Xenopus tropicalis: one gene and its partner. The protein of the gene in region 1 interacts with the protein of each later gene in a biochemical or structural test. Links are inferred from orthologs where the notes say so. Each region holds a gene or a part of one and is shown on either strand. Other genes may lie near its edges.

Evidence for each region.
Region 2: the proteins of fgfr4 (region 1) and fgf19 form a complex in vitro, tested with the Homo sapiens proteins (2 studies listed by BioGRID and IntAct). The link is inferred for Xenopus tropicalis from reciprocal best matches to the Homo sapiens genes FGFR4 and FGF19.

The regions. Positions count from the first base shown.
Region 1 is NC_030679.2:46,326,415-46,330,246, reverse strand, and holds part of fgfr4 (fibroblast growth factor receptor 4 precursor), read left to right. Parts: intron 1-1,960; coding exon 1,961-2,224; intron 2,225-2,491; coding exon 2,492-2,587; intron 2,588-3,158; coding exon 3,159-3,325; intron 3,326-3,459; coding exon 3,460-3,583; intron 3,584-3,832. UniProt on the Homo sapiens protein: Tyrosine-protein kinase that acts as a cell-surface receptor for fibroblast growth factors and plays a role in the regulation of cell proliferation, differentiation and migration, and in regulation of lipid metabolism, bile acid biosynthesis, glucose uptake, vitamin D metabolism and phosphate homeostasis.
Region 2 is NC_030680.2:12,860,642-12,864,573, forward strand, and holds the start of fgf19 (fibroblast growth factor 19 precursor), read left to right. Parts: upstream 1-1,159; coding exon 1,160-1,394; intron 1,395-2,659; coding exon 2,660-2,763; intron 2,764-3,932. UniProt on the Homo sapiens protein: Involved in the suppression of bile acid biosynthesis through down-regulation of CYP7A1 expression, following positive regulation of the JNK and ERK1/2 cascades. Stimulates glucose uptake in adipocytes. Activity requires the presence of KLB and FGFR4.

The DNA of each region.
Region 1 (3,832 bases):
TTGGGTATGGATTTTCCTCTTGACTAAAGCAACTGAAGCTCCCGTTGGAGAGAGAATCCATTCAAATAGTTGCTGCTGAATACCATCAAGCAAGTTGTTTGCCACTTTTCCATGATTAATTGACCACTAGAGGCCAGTGGTATTTCAGTGGATGAGCTTCCAGATATAGCACAAAAAGTTAGTATGACTGATCAATTCATAAAGCAGGCTGGGAAAGTGCTTTTCCTTTGCTCAAATTTTACTAGCAGTGCCTCACTAATTAAAAGTCTTGAAATAATAGTATCCAGTAGATACTAGTATACTTTCAGAGTTTCGCTTTTCATCAGATTGGCCTCTTCAGATGAGTGGTGAAACGTTTCTGAGAAAACTCTCCAGCAGCTTTAGACTTCATTCTACTAGATACTGTATATCATGACCTGGATGCATGAGAATCTTCAAAAATATCTTGAAATAATGTGTAAATTATGTGGTGATGGAGTGGTTAAGCACATGGGGACTAATTTTTTCCAGTAATTCCATTCTCGGTATGGTATCACAGTAACTAATCATACTAATATTTGGAATCCAGAGGGACATGCTATTGTCCAGGTATGGATTTTGAAAACACAGATTGCAAATATATAACTTATTATTTTATTCTATAATATTGATTGATATACAAATATTTATCCGTTTTTATGACCGCCTTACCACCAGTAGAGCTGTAACCAGAAACCACACAAGTGCAGAATAGAGACAAAATGTTCAAAATAAATTACATTTACTATAATAAATAACCTAAACGTATGTTATGATTTATTGAACATTTCCCATTTTGGAAATAGGGTATATTATACCTTTTTAATAAAGAGTGTGTACGCTCCAGTAAGCCTGGGTGGGTTGGATTCTGGGACAGGTCTAATCTGTTGATGTCTCTAATATAATTACTGTGTTGTGTTAATTTTAGTACAGGCGGACATTGCCCATAATGAGGATCATGGTCTTCCTGTAGATCTCAAACTAGTGATGAGAATATCACAAACATAGGGCAGTGACCACTTTGTTAGATCACCCTCCCCAGTGCTGCTTGATAATATATGCTGATTAGTTTAAATACAGCAGTAGAATGGAATTACATGTAATGTAATTAGGTTACATTTTTCATGGCACTCTCACGATAGAGATGGGCAGTAGGTCAGCAATAGTAGAACTGGATCGCATAACTAAAAGTATTCGCTGCATATCTGGGCACTTCTGAAACATTTACAGTTAATCTTTTAAATAGTGTTATTTCTTGTATATCACTTATAAAAGATTACAGTTATAATTCTGCATTGCTGTGCCTTCATTATAAATATGGCTATGTATATTGAGCCCCCATCAATTCAGAATTTAAACTGTAAGGGAAAACTGATAAACTGCTGCTTAGGTGTAAATAGAGTGGCCTTGAATTAAACATTAAAATATCCTTATTGCCACCCCTGATAGGATGGCCCCCCTGTTGGCATTGGGAAACAAAGGGGCTCTTGTTGCTTAGCAGCATAATGTCTAGGGGTTTCTTGGGAGGTTAAAGGTTGACATGCTGGTCAAATCACAAGTTCACAGGGATATAAGTGGCTTAGGTGAGAAAAATGGCGCCAATGTGAAGTGTGTTGTCTTCACATCAAAACTCAAAAAGAAAACACCAATGAAGTTCAGCTGCTGGTTAAATAAACACCATGGGAGGAAGGGAAACATTTTACATTTTCACACTTTAAATCTGTCTGTAATCATCAAGTTCCTTCCTTAATCATCATCCTTTGTTATATGGGATAATGTGATATGCATGTTTCTGTACTCCGTAGACTAGCCAATTGTCCATTGTTGTCTTTCTTATTAATGCAGAGAATACCTCTTAAAGAGAGATTACAGAATATATATAATTTTAAGGTGATATGTTCATTGGTTTTCATTTTACCTTTTGTTATGGGTTTTTCTCTAGGGGAAACAGAAATATCTGAGTCTGACGTTGAAGAACATCTACTTCTAGACCCTGGGAATGCTCTGCGACTGTTTTGTGACACCAACCAAAGCAGCAGCATCAACTGGTACCGTGAGCAGGAACGTTTGCTGCCGGGAGGGAAGATTCGCATGGTGGGAACTGTGCTAGAAGTCTCAGATGTGACCTATGAAGACTCTGGCCTTTATATATGTGTGGTCAGAGGAACAGGCAAAATCCTTCGAAGGTTCTCTATATCTGTTGTTGGTAAGTGATTTAAAAGAGGGTATTTACCTTGTGGGATTGATGTACAGAAAGCTGCTAAAGCTTTTACATTATATAATGTTAAAAGTCTGCAAGGATACCCCAGTTCAGTGCTGGAGCCTCCAACGTATTTTAAAGTTGTCATTGTAAAGTTTTCAAAAGTTATTACAGCTTCACATAATTACATACTGTTTCTGCTAACACTAGGCTCCAGCAGAGCATCAGATCAGCAGTCTGCTATTCTCATTTATCATTACAATTTTCTCGTAGACTCGTTGGCATCTGGAGATGAAGAAGATGATGAGGATGGCCGTAGGGAGGACTCAGCCGCTGATATTAATGAGGAGCCTGTTTATTTTTTCCAAGGTGAGAGAGCATATATGGCTATAGGTAATTAGAGGTTATAATGACCCTCAAACCACTACTATTAGAGCCATAAAATACTATAGTTTCAGTGCTGGACAGTCTTTATCTGGAGTTCTCCACATACCAAAGACCAGACAGTCTGTGATGTCTTTAAAAGATGTATACATTCAGATGTGCCCTGGAGCTAAGAGAAAGACCAAGAGCAAAATAAATAAATAAAATGAGCTAAGAAACAACCCAAAATCCAAGCTAAAGGTCCCTGTTCCTCATCAATATCGTAATTGTGCAAATGTGGCTTACTACTACAGAAATAGAAGGCACAGTTCTGTATGAAACACAGTTTTTTGGCACTTTTTGGAATGAAGCAAATAATAAACCATTGAAGCTCTTTTACAGCATATTCGTACATTCCAAAGATGGCTGGAATTAATATTATAGATAGAGAGATATATGGCTCCTCAAGAATATTTGAAGGGGGTTTATTAACTAAACAATCTTAGTCAGTTGATCCAATAATAATTTCAAAATGTAACTTTTTGATTACTAATAAATCCTTACTTCTATCATTCAGCACCATACTGGACCCAGCCACACCGCATGGACAAGAAACTTCATGCTGTACCAGCTGGTAACACTGTCAAGTTCCGCTGTCCGGCTGGTGGAAGTCCTCTTCCCACTATTCGATGGCTAAAAAATGGCAGAGAATTTCGAGGGGAGCACAGAATTGGTGGGATCCAGGTAAGCTGTGGCATCTCTGGCTTTATGCACAGCATTGCTTCAATACTTGTTTAATTATAGATGTTTAATTTTGACTTATAAAACATTATGATTTTGGGAGTAATCCTAATATTTTCATCCATCTACTCCAACAGCTTCGGCATCAACACTGGAGTCTGGTAATGGAAAGTGTGGTTCCATCAGACCGTGGCAACTACACCTGTGTGGTGGAGAACAGAATTGGCAGCCTTACATATACCTACTTTTTGGATGTGCTAGGTATGTTAGCTACTAAAATCATTTTGTTGTATAACTGTGAAAAGTTGTTTATCCATTGAAAAGCAAGATTTTAAGTACCCTACAAGGAGCACAAGTGAAGCTGGCTAGTGAAAGAGGATTACACCAAACATAGATTTTGAAATGGTCAAAATATTCTAGATGCTGTGAGATGCTTGCTGAGATAAAGCTTAAAACTTGCTGTTCAGTTCTATGAATGATAAGGCCTTGGAGAGTAGATGTTAATGATAG
Region 2 (3,932 bases), on another chromosome or scaffold:
CCCACCTAATGTGGGCGAAATCGTTCTAAGCTGGTCATTTGGATCTAGGGGCCATAACAATCGGAGCAAGAGCCATATCAAGCCTGTCCGAACTGGACGATTTTCAGCCCGGGAAGCCCGTCGGAGGGCCCCACACACAGGCAGATAAGCTGAAGGAGCCAAATTGGCAGCTTAAATCTGCATGAGTATGGGCACCTTTACAGTTCTATACAATTTTGTCACGTGCTGCCATTTTGTCGCATTATAGTCTGCATACCCAGTTCACAATTAAAAGGTTAAATTTCATTTTTGTGAATAGTGTATGGCGTATATTGGTGTAGCATCCAATCAGAGACCACGGTGGAGTAAAAGGCTACACGTTTCATTCACTGCTGTATTTTCCAAGTAACTGTGGACTTTAACATTTCTTAGTTTAAACTGCAGGTCAGGTTTGAATTCTGCCAAAAATTGTAGTGCAACACCCCCTCCCACCCCAGCATGATGGGAATTGTAGTCCCACACCCGCAGGCTGCTAATCCAAAAAGGTGGATCAGACCTAAAGGGCTTTCCTTTCAGCGAGACAAAGAAAAGTCTCTGACACAGAAGGGTCTACGTACTAATAGCCTCCCATTAAAGGAGGACCCATAGGCAGGGGTATGTGCCATTGTTAACAAATGTCTCACTTACTCTGCTTGGCAATAAAAGGACAACTATCCCTCCCCCAGTACAAGGTATACACAGATATATCCGTTTTTTTAAAAAATTTTGAACATTTTTCCAAATCCGGATCCGATTTAAAAGACAAAGATACAATTACACATAAAATATCTCAGTTATACAAACATTTTCCTTAATAACAGGGGTAACAAATAGGAATAATGAAACAGCTAAAAACCCGAGTATGTAACCTGTGAGGGTGATGTAATGATGATAGGAAGGGGAGGTCTGTGCTTACTATGAAAGGTCTACTTATTGAAAATAGTATGACCTTATCTATGGAGCTGATAAGAGTCCTATAAAAGGCTGGGGATTGGCTTGTATTTACTACAGCCCCGAGGCAATTAGGTTAAAAAAAAAAAAAAAAAGCATTGCCTGACAGTCTGTCTCAAGCAACTTTAGTGTTACTGACTCTTTGTGTGTGTGTGTGAGCTCTCAAATTGCCATTTCCAACCCTGGGAAGATGTGGAAGACCCTGCCTTGGATTTTGGTTCCCATGATGGTGGCCGTGCTGTATTTCCTCGGAGGGGCGGAAAGTCTGCCGCTTTTTGATGCCGGGCCGCACATGCAGAACGGCTGGGGGGAGTCGATCAGAATTCGGCACCTGTATACGGCCAGGAGGTTCGGGCACGACAGCTACTACCTCCGGATACACGAGGATGGCAGAGTCGATGGTGACAGGCAACAAAGCATGCACAGTAAGTGTAACGTAGAGCAAAACTATCTATGAATAAATCACATCAATTGTTTCTGAATCAAATGAACTATTATTGTTATTAATAATTATTTATATAGCACAGTGATGGGACCTGTTATCTAGAATCCTTGCGAACTGGGGCTTCTTTCTGTAATCTGTAATCTGTAATCTCCATACCTTAAATCTGCTAAAAAAAAAAAATCATTTAACCATGAAATAAACCCAATAGGGCTGTTCTGCCCCCAATAAGGGGTAATTATATCTTAGTTGGGATCAAGTACAGGTACTGTTTTATTATTACAGAGAAAAGGGAATCATTTAACCATTAAATAAACCCAATAGGGCTGTTCTGCCCCCAATAAGGGGTAATTATATCTTAGTTGGGATCAAGTACAGGTACTGTTTTATTGTTACAGAGAAAAGGGAATCATTTAACCATTAAATAAACCCAATAGGGCTGTTCTGCCCCCAATAAGGGGTAATTATATCTTAGTTGGGATCAAGTACAGGTACTGTTTTATTATTACAGAGAAAAGGGAATCATTTAACCATTAAATAAACCCAATAGGGCTGTTCTGCCCCCAATAAGGGGTAATTATATCTTAGTTGGGATCAAGTACAGGTACTGTTTTATTATTACAGAGAAAAGGGAATCATTTAACCATTAAATAAACCCAATAGGGCTGTTCTGCCCCCAATAAGGGGTAATTATATCTTAGTTGGGATCAAGTACAGGTACTGTTTTATTATTACAGAGAAAAGGGAATCATTTAACCATTAAATAAACCCAATAGGGCTGTTCTGCCCCCAATAAGGGGTAATTATATCTTAGTTGGGATCAAGTACAGGTACTGTTTTATTATTACAGAGAAAAGGGAATCATTTAAACATGAAATAAACCCAATAGGATTGTTCTGCCTCCAATAAGGATTAATAATATCTTAGTACAGGGACTGTATTATTATTATAGTGAAAAAGGAAATCATTTTTAAAAATTAGAATTATTTGGTTATAATGAAGTCTATGGGAGGTGACCTTCCCATAATTTGGAGCTTTCTAGATAACGGGTTTCCAGATAACGGACCTAACATATTCCATAGTGCTTTACCAAGATTCTTGACCCAGTGAATGTTAAACTATATTGCCCCTATCACATACATACAAAGACTAAGGTCAATTTAATCAGGAAACATATAAACCGTTTGCAGATGATAGAATTAAATCTAGGATCTTCCATCTGAATCATTTTTGTTTTTATATGTGCAGGTTTATTGGAAATCAGAGCAATTGCAGTTGGAATTGTTGCCATTAAAGGGTATCGCAGCTCTCTGTACCTGTGCATGGGGTCCGAGGGAAAACTCTATGGAATGGTAAGTGAGCTCTGAAGCTTCTAATAATAAAGATATGCAAGGGTGGAAGCTTATAAGTAGAACAAATCATATAGGAATAAAGGATACAAACAGCCATGATAACTGTATGCAGAACAGATCATGTGGCTTCCAAAATGTCTTTTAGCAGCATTAAGGTAAGACACATGGAGCTACTTAGTAGCAGCTACTTGTCGGGGCTACTAAACTCCAGAAAATACCATAGACATTACTGAGAATTGCCTCTGCTAAAACACACATAGGGACAATTATCAGTAAATGATCAGCATTGTCTGTTTTAGTAGCCACTACTAGTAACTGCTACTAGTAGCTCCATGTGTCTTCACCCTTATACATAGAAATGGCACTGTATTTATCCTGCCGTGTGTTCTGGGATGTATGTATGTATGTATAAAGAAGCTGTTGGTTTTTTTTTTAAAACAAAGGTCCTTTGCTCTAAAGTTACTGCTCACTATAAACAAGCATATTAGTTTTATACTGATGTACTGAAGTTGTATGATGCACATTCTGTATGCCGCAGAAGCAGTACAACATACCATATTACTTACCTTTGCATGGAATTGGCCAAGAATATCTAGATAACGTCACCTTCCTACTGAAAAGAGAGGAAAAAAGTGTCATTTTTCGTACATTTTCATTGCATCAGCACTCCTTTAACAGTGCTCTCATTTGACCGCTTCTTTACCTTTCAACTTTATACCCGGCTTATTTTTGGCTCAGTCAGAACAGGTGAATGAACTATAGCTCAATAAAACTGAGGAACAGATTATGTCTGGAGCACACTGCCACTGTGTAAAGTCTTCTATGCAAAGGCATTTTCCAGGGTTTCTTATACTGAGCACCTTGCAGGATACATGAAGTGGCAATTTCATACATAATACCCTAGCGTACATGCAATGCAAATTCCATACATTGTCCCTTGAACACCTCAGAATAAATACAGTGCCAATTCCATGTATAATACCCCAGAACCCACAGCAGGATAAATACAATGCCAATTCCATGTATAATACCCCAGAACCCACAGCAGGATAAATACAGTGCCAATTCCATGTATAATACCCCAGAACCCACAGCAGGATAAATACAGTGCCAATTCCATGTATAATACCCCAGAACCCACAGCAGGATAAATACAGTGCCAATTCCAT